Linked DNA regions of Oryctolagus cuniculus. The protein of the gene in region 2 interacts with the protein of the main gene of each other region in a pairwise test. Links are inferred from orthologs where the notes say so. Each region holds a gene or a part of one and is shown on either strand. Other genes may lie near its edges.

Region 1 (3,647 bases), on a different chromosome or scaffold from region 2:
AAAATAAGGAAATTAATATAGAAAATATTACAGATTATAAGACTGGTATTCTCAAAGATTTGCTAAAGAGACATAGTCCTTTTGTTGTTGTAGACAGTTGGAGATATAATTTACATACCATAAAATTCACCCACTCTAAGAGTACTGTTCAATGAATTGCAGTACATTTTAACGGTTGTCCAACTGCTCACATCCAATCTCCGAGCACTTCTATCCCCTGAAAAGCTTGCAGTCAGTTTCTGCTCCCACCTCAACCCTGGACAACAGTTACCGACTTTCTAACTCTACAGTTTTGCCTTTTCTAGAAGTCTCATACAAATTGAATCATAAAATATGCAGCCTTTTATGTTTGGCTTCTTGTATATAGTTTTTAGGATCCGTCTATGTTGTTGGATATAGCAGTAGTTAATTATTTTTTATAGCCCAGTGATATTCTATTGTGCAGATGTATCACATTTATTTATTATCCATTCACCTGCTTATGGATATTTGGGCTGTTTCCAATTTTTGGGCTTACAGATAGAGCTAGTATAAATATTCATGTACAGGTCTTTGTATGGGTCTGTGTGTGTGTATTTATGTTTTCAGGTAAAACATCTAGGAGTAGGATGGCTAGATCACATGCAGGTATACATTTAACTTTTTAAGAAAAGCCAAACTATTTTCAAAGTAGCTGTGCCCTTTTGCATTCTCACTAGTAGTAGGTGAGTGTTCCGGTTCCTCCCCATCCTTCCCAATAGTTGCCCTGATATTTTCTTGTTTTAGTCATTTTAATAGGAATGCAGTGCTATCTCACTGTGGCTTTAATTTACACTTCTTTAATGATGCTGAACATCTTTTCATGTGCTTATTAGTCATTCACTTATCTTCTTTGGTGAAGTGCTGTTCAAATAATCTCTTGCCCATCTTAAAAAATTGAGAAGTTTATCCTGTCACTGAGTTATAAACATTCTATATATATTTTGAATATAAGTCCTTTATCAGATACATGATTTGCAAATATCTTCTCCTAGGTGGTGGCTTATCTCTCCTTTTTTTAAAATATATTTTTTATTTGACAGGTAGAATTATAGACAATGAGAGAAAGAGAGAGAGAGAGAGAAAGGTCTTCCTTCCATTGGTTCACTCCCCAAATGACTGCCATGGCTGGCGCTACACTGATCTGAAGCCAGGAACGAGGTGCTTCCTCCTGGTCTCTCATGCGGGTGCAGGGCCCAAGCACTTGGGCCATCCTCCACTGCCCTCCTGGGCCATAGCAGAGAGCTGGACTGGAAGAGAGACAGCCAGTACTAGAACCAGGGCCCATATGGGATGCCAGCGCCTCAGGTGGAGGATTAACCAAGTGAACCATGGTGCCAGCCCCTGGTTTATCTTTTCATTTTCTAATGGTATTTTTTGAAAAGCACTGGACTTTCATTCTGATCAGGTCCAGTTTATCAGTTTCCTAATTTTATGGATCGTGCTTTGATATCCATCTAAGAAATCCTTGCCTAACCAGTGATCATAAATATTTTCTCTTATTTCTTCTAGAATTTTATAATTTTTCACTTTACACTTAGGCCTATGATCCATTTTGTGTTAATTTTGTATATGGTGTGAGATAAGGGTCTAAAGTCATCATCTTAGCATTATGATTATTTTGCAGATAGATATTGAATTGTTCCAGCACAATCTGTTGAAAAGACTGTATTTCATTCTCTGAGTTTCCCTGGCATTGTTATAAAAAAAATCAAGTGATCATAAAGGTATGGGTTTATTTCTGGACTCTGTTCTGTTCTATTGACTTCTGTGTCTGTCCTTACACTAGCACCGCACTGTCTTGATTACTGTAGTTCTATGCCAAGTTTTAAAATCAGGGAGTGTATGTCCTGCTTTTGTTCTTTTCAAAATTGCTGGCATTGTGGCAGTGCCAACATCCCATATGGGCACTGCTTCGAGTCCCGGCTGCTCCACTTCTGATCCAACTCTCTGTTGTGGCCTGGGAAAGCATCAGAAGATGGCCCAAGTTCTTGGGCACCTGCCCACATAGAAGACCTGGAAGAAGCTCCTGGCTCCTGGCTTCGGATCAGCTCAGCTCCGGCCACTATGGCCAATTGGGGAGTGGACCAGCAGATGGAAGATCTCTCTCTCTGCCTCTCCTTCTCTCTCTGTCTAACTCTGACTTTCAAATAAATAAATACAACTTTAAAAAGAAAAAAAACAAAATGCTCTATGTCCTTTACATTTCCATATACAATTTTAGAATCAGCATGTTAATTTCTACCAAAAAAAAAAAAAACTCCTGGAATTTTAATGAAGTTGGGGTTGAATCTATAGATCAGTTTTGGAGAGATTTTTATACTCCTCAGAAATCATTTTATACTGTCAGCAAAAGTGAGCAACTGAGATGCTGGTGAAAGGACAGTGACCAGAAGGAGGACAATCCTCATGGGGAGACCCCAGGAGAAGCAGGAGAGACAATTCCTTTCCAGACCACATTCTCCCCCAGCTAGCAAACCTCGGAAAGGCGGATGGCACTCGGAAGACAAAGAATCAGCAGCAGTCAGCTTGAAACTAAGCCTTTCAAATATTCCTGGAATAAGAATCTTTGTTGTAAGATTTCGATTAGTATTCCCTGACAGCCCTACAACAGCTCTGCCTCTGCCCTGGCTCCCCACCCCATAGCCCTGGCCCCACGGTCACCGTAGCATGGTCGAAGTGAGGCTCATAGTGCCCTCCGATTCCGTAGTTCACCACCTGGAGGTACTCCGCGTAGGGAGGCTGGACATCGAGGCCGGTGAGGGCAGCGATGCGGTGGTCCAGGGTCACCAGCATTGGGTCTACCGTGTCCTTCAGCCAGGCACTAAAACGTAGATTGCATCATCAATGCTCTGGGGCCACAAATGACTCAGTGATGTCTGAATGGATGATGTCAACCGCCAGAAGGCAGGCAGGCAGGCAGGAAACTCTCGTGTTTACAAAGATACCCAAGACAAAGCTATTGCTTTCAAAGGCTCCTGCATTATGGAAGAAAAGACCAGCACAAATATAACTAAGTATCCATCAAGATAGAAAAAAATGAAGACTTTCAATTACTGGGGAGTACAGAGGAGGGAGAAGTTAACTCTGTGAGGTATTGCCATACGATGGCGGCATTGCCATACGATGGCGGCATTTAAGCAGAAGTTTGAAGGGGGCATAAAGTGTCAATACTCACAGGTGGAAAACACGCAGGGATATTCGAGCCTTAAGAAGCAACATGAGCACAAACATGGAGGTGTGACTATGAGTAACACAGGCAGATGCCAAAGCACTTGGTCCATAAAAGAAGTAGGGGGAGATAAGGCTGGGAAAGTGGGCTCAGGGCATGAGGAAGCCGGGGACACGTGGCAAGGCATCTGGATTTTCTTGGTGGATAATGGGCAGTCTGTGAAGGTGTGTGGGCAGGAAAGAGATCTGGCACTGAGGGAGGGGTTCCCTGATGACCTCCGAGAGCCCAGTTCCAGGGAAGCTGTGTGGACAGAGCTACATCCAGAGGGTTGGAGCCTGATGCAAGAGGAGGAGGAGGAGATAGTTTTTTGATCTGAAAAGTGAAGAAAATACCATCTCCTCCCCTGAAATCAATGAATCTATAGATAAAGTTGATTTTTCTCTGACACAAGAATATT
Region 2 (4,417 bases):
CCCCGGGCACACCGGGAAATGTAGTCCGCCCGTGCGCCCCCGCGGGCCGGGCCTGGGCCGGCTACACAGTTGCACAGTTCCACCCTTGCAGACGTTAGGAGACACGTGGAGGGTGCCCACGGTGTGCCCGGCACTGCCAAGCGCCGTAGGGGGGTAGGGAGGCACGGTCGGGGCTCGCACACTGGTGTGGACAAGCCCGCCTTCACCCCAGGATGCACACCCTCTCCAGAGCGTCTCCAGTGGGTTTCCAGGGCCCACAGAAAAGAGGGCTCGCGGATTCGGCGCCCCTTGACCCTAGGGGAGAAATAAGGTTTTCTGTCCTCCCCACTTTTACATCCGGTTCCTACGCCCCGATTCAAAGTATTGGCGGTAAAGAGTGCATGACGGGTATTCCATATTCTCTAAAGGAAAGAGCGTAAAGTTATTTTATGAGACCGGTCCAGTATGTCTTAGTGGGCGAACCCAGATTCAAACCCAGATCTCTTTCCAGAAAATTCAGCGCTCTTTCTCAGAGTGGTAAGTAGCTAAGAATAGCGTAAGATATATCTTCTAGGACTATGTAGAATCCGTAAAAGAACGTAGAAATTCTCCTTATAGGACTCCAGTTTAAGGACGTGACCACTACAGAGTTAGTTGTAACGGCAAAAACATTGGAACGTATGTGAATTTTGTAACGAGAAAAACCCAAAAGCTTTTTTTTTTTTAAAAATATAGTTTGTACTTGCTTGTAGTTGATTAAAGTGCCGCTCCAGAAATTCACAAGAAACATGACACTCGCTCCCTCTGCTTTAGAGAATTTGGTTACAAGTAAAGACTTGTTGCTGTATAGTCTATTTTGTACAGTTTGACCTTTGAAATATTCTAATATGTGACCTATTTAAAAATTTCCAAATAACAAAATAATTTAACAAAAAACTGTCTGGTCTTGAAGATCTAGCCGCGTGGCAGTTTGAATTATGATTATTTTTAAATGTAACGGGGCTTCTCAGCGAAGGGTAATCTATGGTTTTTGCGGACTGCAGTTTCCACTAGTGGACTCCTGTGGGGCTGCAGGTCTGCTTTCCAAGGAAGTGATGTGCAGACAGCAACTGAATGCCCCTGGTCATGTGAGACAAGTCTAAATGCCAACGTTTTATTCCTTTGGCCCACATTGCAATGTGCTCTGAATTTGGTTCAGAAAATATAGCTGTCACTGAATTAAGTCAAGGGTCTACCACCTGCTATTAGTAGGAAGTCAGTTGGAAAATCGGATAGGTTTAAAGGGTACAAAACTAGGTACGAGATGGAAAATTAAAGTGTAGGGAACTGAAAGGTAAAACTGTATAGTATGATGTTTGGAATCTGAGGAAGATTTTACAAATTGCTCTAAAGAGGCACACAAGCAATTGTGTTGCCAAACTCTAGTTTGGGGGGATTCCTGGGTATTGTCTACTAATTAGAACCCTCCCAACCCCCACCTCATGCCCGCCCCCCCGCCCCCCCCCCCCCCCCCCCGCACTCCCTTCTCCCCTCCCCCACTGCAGAACGCCCGGAGTTCGCATTCTAGTTCTGTTTTGCTACAATCCTTACACGTCCTTCCTTGGATCCCTGTGTATCTATTGGAGCCAGGTTACTTTCTGGGACTCCAGACCTGACTGTCTCATTCTGGAGGCTTCCAGACAGCCAGAGTTAGTACCCAAGCCTGAGACCATGGCTTCAGATGGAAGTAAGTCTCAGGTGGCGGGGCAGGGCCCCATCCCCAACCACCTACTCACATCCTTGGGGATTCAAGTTTGACACTTCAGCAGGGCACAAGCTTTTTGGGCTGATCTAGAAAATGTGAGACCATCCCCCAAAGGCATCACCCCTGGGAGGCTGGGTCAGGTGCTTGTACCATGAACACTAGGGGTTAAGGAAGGAGGAGGGCCTCCTTCGAGTCAGATGGTGGCATCCCAGGGCAAACATGCTGAGTGTGGAGTACAGATGGCATAACTGATTCTCTGGAAGAGAATGTGTTTCTGCAGCCAGGGCAGGGGTATACGTGGTAGGAGTGGCACAGATCCACGGGTCTACATTACCAGGAAGCTGGAATTAGGAGGCAGAACTAAGAATCAAACCCAGGCACTCCACTGTGGGATGCAGGTCTCTTAACCTTCAGGCCAAGCATCGGCCTCTGCCCCCAGTGTTTCCTGACTCATCAGGACCAGAGGAGGTGGTTCATCACTGGCATGAGAGCCGTGGCTTCCCTAAAATATTCTGTTTCCCTACATTTTGTGGACCTGAGTCCTTGAGACGGATGACTTATGTTTGGTAGTTCCTGGCATACTCCTGGCCCTCTGCTCTGTGGTTCAGATGAGTGAATCTTAGTTTGTCACATTCTAAATCTCTTTCAAGGTCAGGAAGTAGAACTGGCCTTAGTCTGCTGGTGGAATACTCTTTGTAAGAGGAGGAGGAGAGCACCGTGAAATCAGGCAGGTTTCCCACCTTTACTGTTATTAAAAGCCCTGGGAGACACAGGTCATGATTAACAAAGTATATGCGTGTGTTCTTACCCCTGGCCTCCTTGCCTAGTGTCCACACAGCTCCTCCACAGCAGGAGCAGTTCCTGACTCAGCTGTCCCTGCCTCAGCGCTAGCTCAGTGCCTTGTTCCTAGTGGACCCTCAGTGTCTGCTATTAGCAGCCCCAAGCACTGCCAAACTTCAACATGTCCAGAGCGACTGAAAACCTCCCTCTCCAGGGCCATTTCCTGGTCTTTATCTAATCCTCTCTGGTTAGCTATTCCTGGATGTTATACAACATTTCTGGGAGTCAAACATCTAATCCACATACCTTCTCCTGGGATTTGCACTTCCATGAGTGGCGGCAGAGGCCACAGAGGACCTAGGAACAGAGGGCGGGGGCTGTGAATCCCATTTGGAATAGGTGGGAATAGGAAGCGTACATGTATGCAAGGTGTTATGGGACAAGGGCACCGCAGCTTTCATTGTGTTGTTTTAGGAGAGAAAGTGAAGATGCTGACAGGAAAGGGAAAAGGAGCAGGAGATGGGCCAATGATTTTTTTTAAAGACTTATTTATTCATTTGAAAGAGTTACACAGAGAGAGGAGAGACAGAGAGAGAGAGAGAGGTCTTCATCTGATGGTTCACTCCCCAATTGGCCGCAGTGGTCAGAGCTGCGTCGATCCAAAGCCAGGAGCTGGGAGCCAGGAGCTTCTTCCAGGTCTCCCACGTGGATGCAGGGCCCCAAGCAGTTGGGTCATCTTCCACTGCTTTCCCAGGCCATAGCAGGGAGCTGGATCAGAAGTGGAGCAGCCGGGTCTCATCAAACCGGCGCCCACATGGGATGCCGGCGCTTCAGGCCAGGGCATTAACCTGCTGCGCCATAGCACCGTAGCACCGGACCCATTTTTTTTTTTTTTTTTAAGATTGATTTTATTTATTTGAGAGAGAGAGAGGTCTTCCATCTGCTGGTTCACTCCCCAAATGACCACACAACGGCCAGAGCTGAGCTGATCCGAAGTCAGGAGCCAGGAGCTTCTTCTGGGTCTCCCACCCAGGGGCCCAAGGACTTGGACCATTTTCTGCTGCTTTCCCAGGCCATAGCACAGAGCTGGATCAGAAGTGGAGCAGCCGGGACACAAACTGGCGCCCATACGGGGTGCTGGTGCTGCAAGCCGGGGCTTTAACCCCCTACGCCCCAGCCCAGACCCCCAGTAATCTTTTTTGAAACTGCCTCCTTTTCAAGGGCCCTGTGGGTACCTGGAGAGGAGCCAGAACTTCTCTGAACTAGTTCCGCTGCTGCTCTGAGTCTGCCACGGGCTGTTTTTCTTTCAGAGGTGTCAACCCTATCTCCTGTCTTGCTAAACAGCCTGTGGGGCTGGCTGGCAGGGAGGGTCCACCAGGCATCCCCTGGCTTAGAGAAGCTCTCAGAGGCGGTGGTGGCTTGGGCTTGCCTCTTCCTGATAGACAGTGTCTTGTTGACAAGGGGCAACTCCTCTAACACAGGACTTCTCAGCTAGCGCAGATTCCTAACTTCTGGTCTCCTTTTCTCCGGCTCCATTCTCTCCTTTTCTTTGTCTCAACAGCATCTCCATTGCCAGGACCGGACATGACCATGAAACCTGGTGCTGCCCTGTCTCCTTTCGCTGCACTTCCCTTTCCCCCTCCTACTCCTGGCCCGCCAGACCAGCCCCCCTGGGACCCACCTCCACAGCCCCCTGTGCCTTCGGCATTCTCAGGAAATAATCCTCTGGTGCTCTCTGCTTTCCCCAGCCCCTTGCTGATGACAGGGGATGGGATTCCTGGCCCCAGTGGGGCTGGGGCTAGTAAGGTCATAGTCACGGTCAAGACAGAAGGGAGCCCGGCTGAGCCCTCGCAAGCTCAGAACTTCATCCTTACTCCCACAGCCATCAATTGGATTGCCTCGGACACTGAGGGC
Region 3 (3,647 bases), about 34 Mb from region 2:
ACCCAGCCAGTGTATAGGAAGACGGAGAGGGTCAGTCTGGGGGCAGAGCGGAGACACTGGATTCCTCCCGGCCACAGGAGGGCAGCCGTTCTGCTCGCGTCAGAGGCCATTGGCTGCAATTTGGTGGTGGTCTTTACAAGGCCATAAGCGTGTAGGGGGAGAGATGACGGGACACAGAAGGGAACCAGAGCGAGGACGCTGGCCCCTCCAGCTGGACACCTGGCATCACCCTTGACTTCTTCCTTCCTCTCCCTGGCCCCACCTGACCAGTGCCTCACAGGATCCCATTGATTCTGTGCCTTGGCATATAGATTTTCAGTACCGCAGTGTTTGCAATCACACCCACTTGTCCATTTACGGGGACCCTGGTAACCAATTATGGTTCATGCATACAGTGGTGGTAGAAATATTCAAAGTATATAGTGTTTAAAAAAAATTAAAAAAACCAAGCTGCAGACAAGAATGAAAAGACCACCAGTGTGTGTAAAAATGGACATTCGCGCACTCATAAGCGATGATGAAGTCCTGCAGGAGACGGCCCCAAACATCACAGGGCCACCTCTGGAAGAAACAGTGCAGGGATCACCAGGGGTGGGGGGAGGGGGCTGTCGTTCCCTGGGCACTGTTTTGTTTAACGTGGAGTGGGAACTGGTTTGTAATTTGTTGTAAACCAGCTACAGTTTAAACAGAAGCAGTAGCAGAGGGTTGGCAAGGGGCCAGGGCCCCTCTGTCACACTACTGCCTCAAGACGGGCTTGGCAGAGCTGTGTCAGGCCTGGTCCCATACAGCCCAGGGGTGGGTGGGGCGGCAAGCAGGGGACAGCAAGGAGCCCCCCGGCCATCAAGCCGGAAGGGAAGCTAGGAGTTATCTCCTGGTGCACCAGATTTTCATGAATTAAAGTCTTTTTTAGGAGACCCATGGAGGGTGGGGGCTGTGCACCTATTGCAACTCTAAAGGTCAGATGTCCATTTCTTTTGGTGAAAAATTTGGCTCTGAAAGAGTGACAACACAGGGGAAAAACTGGCTTCCCCTGCTGTAAGAGAAAGGGGCAGCATTCGCCGCATTTTTTTTTTTTCCAAGTCAAGACACATCCATCAGGCACAAGTTATTTTAACACTGGACATTTCCAAGGATGTGGACATAAGGGTCAGGACCACGGGGAAGGACCCCGCTGTGGATTCCCGCCTGCCCTACAGACAGCCGCCCAGTGCGGCCGCGGTGTGCTTGGCTAGCCCAGGGTCGAGGCTAACTTTAGGTACTGGTGTCACCCTTCGGCCTGTGCCCACTACTTGGCCGGCACCTAGCACAAGCAAGGTGCTGTGCTACAGGCAGGGTGTCCTGCGCCTATTAAAAGTAGTCTGAGAGTGCTGCCGCCGAATGGAGAGGGTGAAGCAGACAATGGCAATCCAATGTAAACCGGGTACAGACAAGGAGAGGACAGGGGCTGGGGGCCTGGGAGAGGGGCACCCTACCCCACCCAGGGGATCAGGCTTTGTTACTCCCTTACTTAGACCTGGAGGATGAGGAGGCATGGCGTGAGTGAAGAGAATGGGGCGAGAGAACTGTCTGCTAGGCAAGGCAGTCCAGTATGGATGTGTAGGCTGTGCACTGCACACAGTCCCAGGTGAGGGCCTGCAGTGCTGCATTCGCCCAGAGGGTGGGAATTAAGAAATGGTACCCTGGGCCGGCGCCGCGGCTCACTAGGCTAATCCTCCGCCTAGCGGCGCCGGCACACCGGGTTCTAGTCCCGGTCGGGGTGCCGGATTCTGTCCCGGTTGCCCCTCTTCCAGGCCAGCTCTCTGCTGTGGCCAGGGAGTGCAGTGGAGGATGGCCCAGGTGCTTGGGCCCTGCACCCCATGGGAGACCAGGAGAAGCACCTGGCTCCTGCCATCGGATCAGCGCAGTGCGCCGGCCGCAGCGGTCATTGGAGGGTGAACCAACGGCAAAAGGAAAACCTTTCTCTCTGTCTCTCTCTCTCTCACTGTCCACTCTGCCTGTCCAAAAAAAAAAAAAAAAGAAAGAAAGAAATGGTACCCTAAGATTTCACGTGGAACAGTGGGGACCCTTGCTCCATCGTGAGCTTATAAGAAAGCACAGATGGTAGACTTCAGGGTTGAAATCCCAGCCATCTACTGTATAAGCTGAGGTGGGCTACTCAGCCCGTGTGCCCCAGTCTCCTCTTCTGTAGAATAGAGGCATCTGGGTGACTGGCACGGAGACCCGTGCCTGGCACACACAAACCCGAGTAATCCCATGCTAGGAGTCCTAAGCGCTTCTGGTGGTGCAGCCACCCTGGAGAGTATGAACATGACGGCTCTGTGCAGAGAATCCTCACCGTGGGGCACCTGGCAGAAGACTTGAAGCGGTGAGGGTCAGAGGCCTCTGTCATGGGCCTGGCCCCTCCCACACAGGGGGCTCTTGGGCTCTGGGCCAAAGGACCAACCCCCCATTTGGCTGCCCACCTGCTTCTGCCATTCCGGCTTTGGGGAGCGGCAGCACGGAGCCAATGGCTTGTTTGTGAAATCACGGTTGTCAGCCTCCCCCAAGGACTACTGGGAGGGCTCCATCTCCTTTAAGGCCGAGGGGGTCAGAGAGACGGGGTTGGGGAGGCGGAGCCCAGGGCCTGGACGTCAGTCCAGGTGCCTCCACCCTGAGCTGCTCATCCTTCTGGGGCTAAGGAGGACAATACCTTTTCCCATGACGCGTGTGAACTGCCCAGGGAGGTCCCCCTCCGGCAGGGGGGCGACGGCCAGCTCCCCGTCACAGCTGCTCAGCTGGTGTGGCTGCAGCCCGCCGCTGGCCCCGGCCGAGGCACTGGCCGAAGCGCTGCTGGCCGTGGCGCTGTCCTTGCAGTCAGCGCTCTGACTCTCGGGGCCCATGAGCGAGGGCTGCTGCGAGGCCGGGGGCTCCCGGCGGCGAGCTTCCGGGGTGGCACTCGGGGAGCTGTAGGCCTTGATGGGAGTCAGGATCATCTGGTGCAGCTCCTGGAGGGGGACGCGCAGGCTGCCCCCCTCAATGATGTCCTGCATGGACAGAGGGAGAGGCCTCGACATCAGGCTCAGGAACAGGGTGTCCCCCTGCCACGCCTGCCCCTCCCCGACCCCGGCTGCTCCCACCCAGGAGTCCCGGCTGCCTGTTCATCGGAACGCTCTCAGGGAAAGCAGCCGCTGCCACTGTCCCACTGCCATCAGCCCCGGAGAAGGCCTGGCGGATACAGGTGTGTGCAGGGAGGAAGACACCCGGCCCCAGGCCACGAGTGGCACATTCTTCCCTGGCTTCCTCCAAGACGCGTTCCTCGACTTCACCCCACGCTCTTTAGAGGCTGGGTCATGGGCTGGCCTTGCAGCCCAAGTGCGACTCCTTACGCGTGAAGGAAGCCATCCACGCCCCATCTCTCAGCCCATGCCACCAGCAGCCCAGGGTGGCGACTCAAAGTATAGACTCTGGGTCAGATTCTGGCACCATTTCGTGACTGTGGGCCAAGCTCTCGGCAGCTTGGTGTGTGCCTTAGCTCCTGCTGCAGCAGGTGGCTATGGAGACGCCAGTCCTGTACAGCTGCAGGTCAGTGTCATGATGCTCTGTGTGTCTTTGATACCCGAGTCAATGGGTGCCTAGTGCTCCAGGTTTTTGGGGCTGTGTACTAGGCC

Evidence for each region.
Region 1: the proteins of NUTM1 (region 2) and P4HA3 interact in binary tests that used the Homo sapiens proteins (3 or more experiments, as listed by UniProt). The two-hybrid records come from large-scale screens. The link is inferred for Oryctolagus cuniculus from reciprocal best matches to the Homo sapiens genes NUTM1 and P4HA3.
Region 3: the proteins of NUTM1 (region 2) and SAMD4A interact in binary tests that used the Homo sapiens proteins (3 or more experiments, as listed by UniProt). The two-hybrid records come from large-scale screens. The link is inferred for Oryctolagus cuniculus from reciprocal best matches to the Homo sapiens genes NUTM1 and SAMD4A.

What each region holds. Positions count from the first base shown.
Region 1 is NC_091432.1:65,523,569-65,527,215, forward strand, and holds part of P4HA3 (prolyl 4-hydroxylase subunit alpha-3), read right to left. Parts: intron 2,843-3,647; coding exon 2,683-2,842; intron 1-2,682. UniProt on the Homo sapiens protein: Catalyzes the post-translational formation of 4-hydroxyproline in -Xaa-Pro-Gly- sequences in collagens and other proteins.
Region 2 is NC_091443.1:55,645,915-55,650,331, reverse strand, and holds the start of NUTM1 (NUT family member 1), read left to right. Parts: upstream 1-1,557; 5' UTR 1,558-1,689; coding exon 1,690-1,705; intron 1,706-4,064; coding exon 4,065-4,417. UniProt on the Homo sapiens protein: Plays a role in the regulation of proliferation. Regulates TERT expression by modulating SP1 binding to TERT promoter binding sites.
Region 3 is NC_091443.1:21,709,952-21,713,598, forward strand, and holds part of SAMD4A (protein Smaug homolog 1), read right to left. Parts: intron 3,024-3,647; coding exon 2,690-3,023; intron 1-2,689. UniProt on the Homo sapiens protein: Acts as a translational repressor of SRE-containing messengers.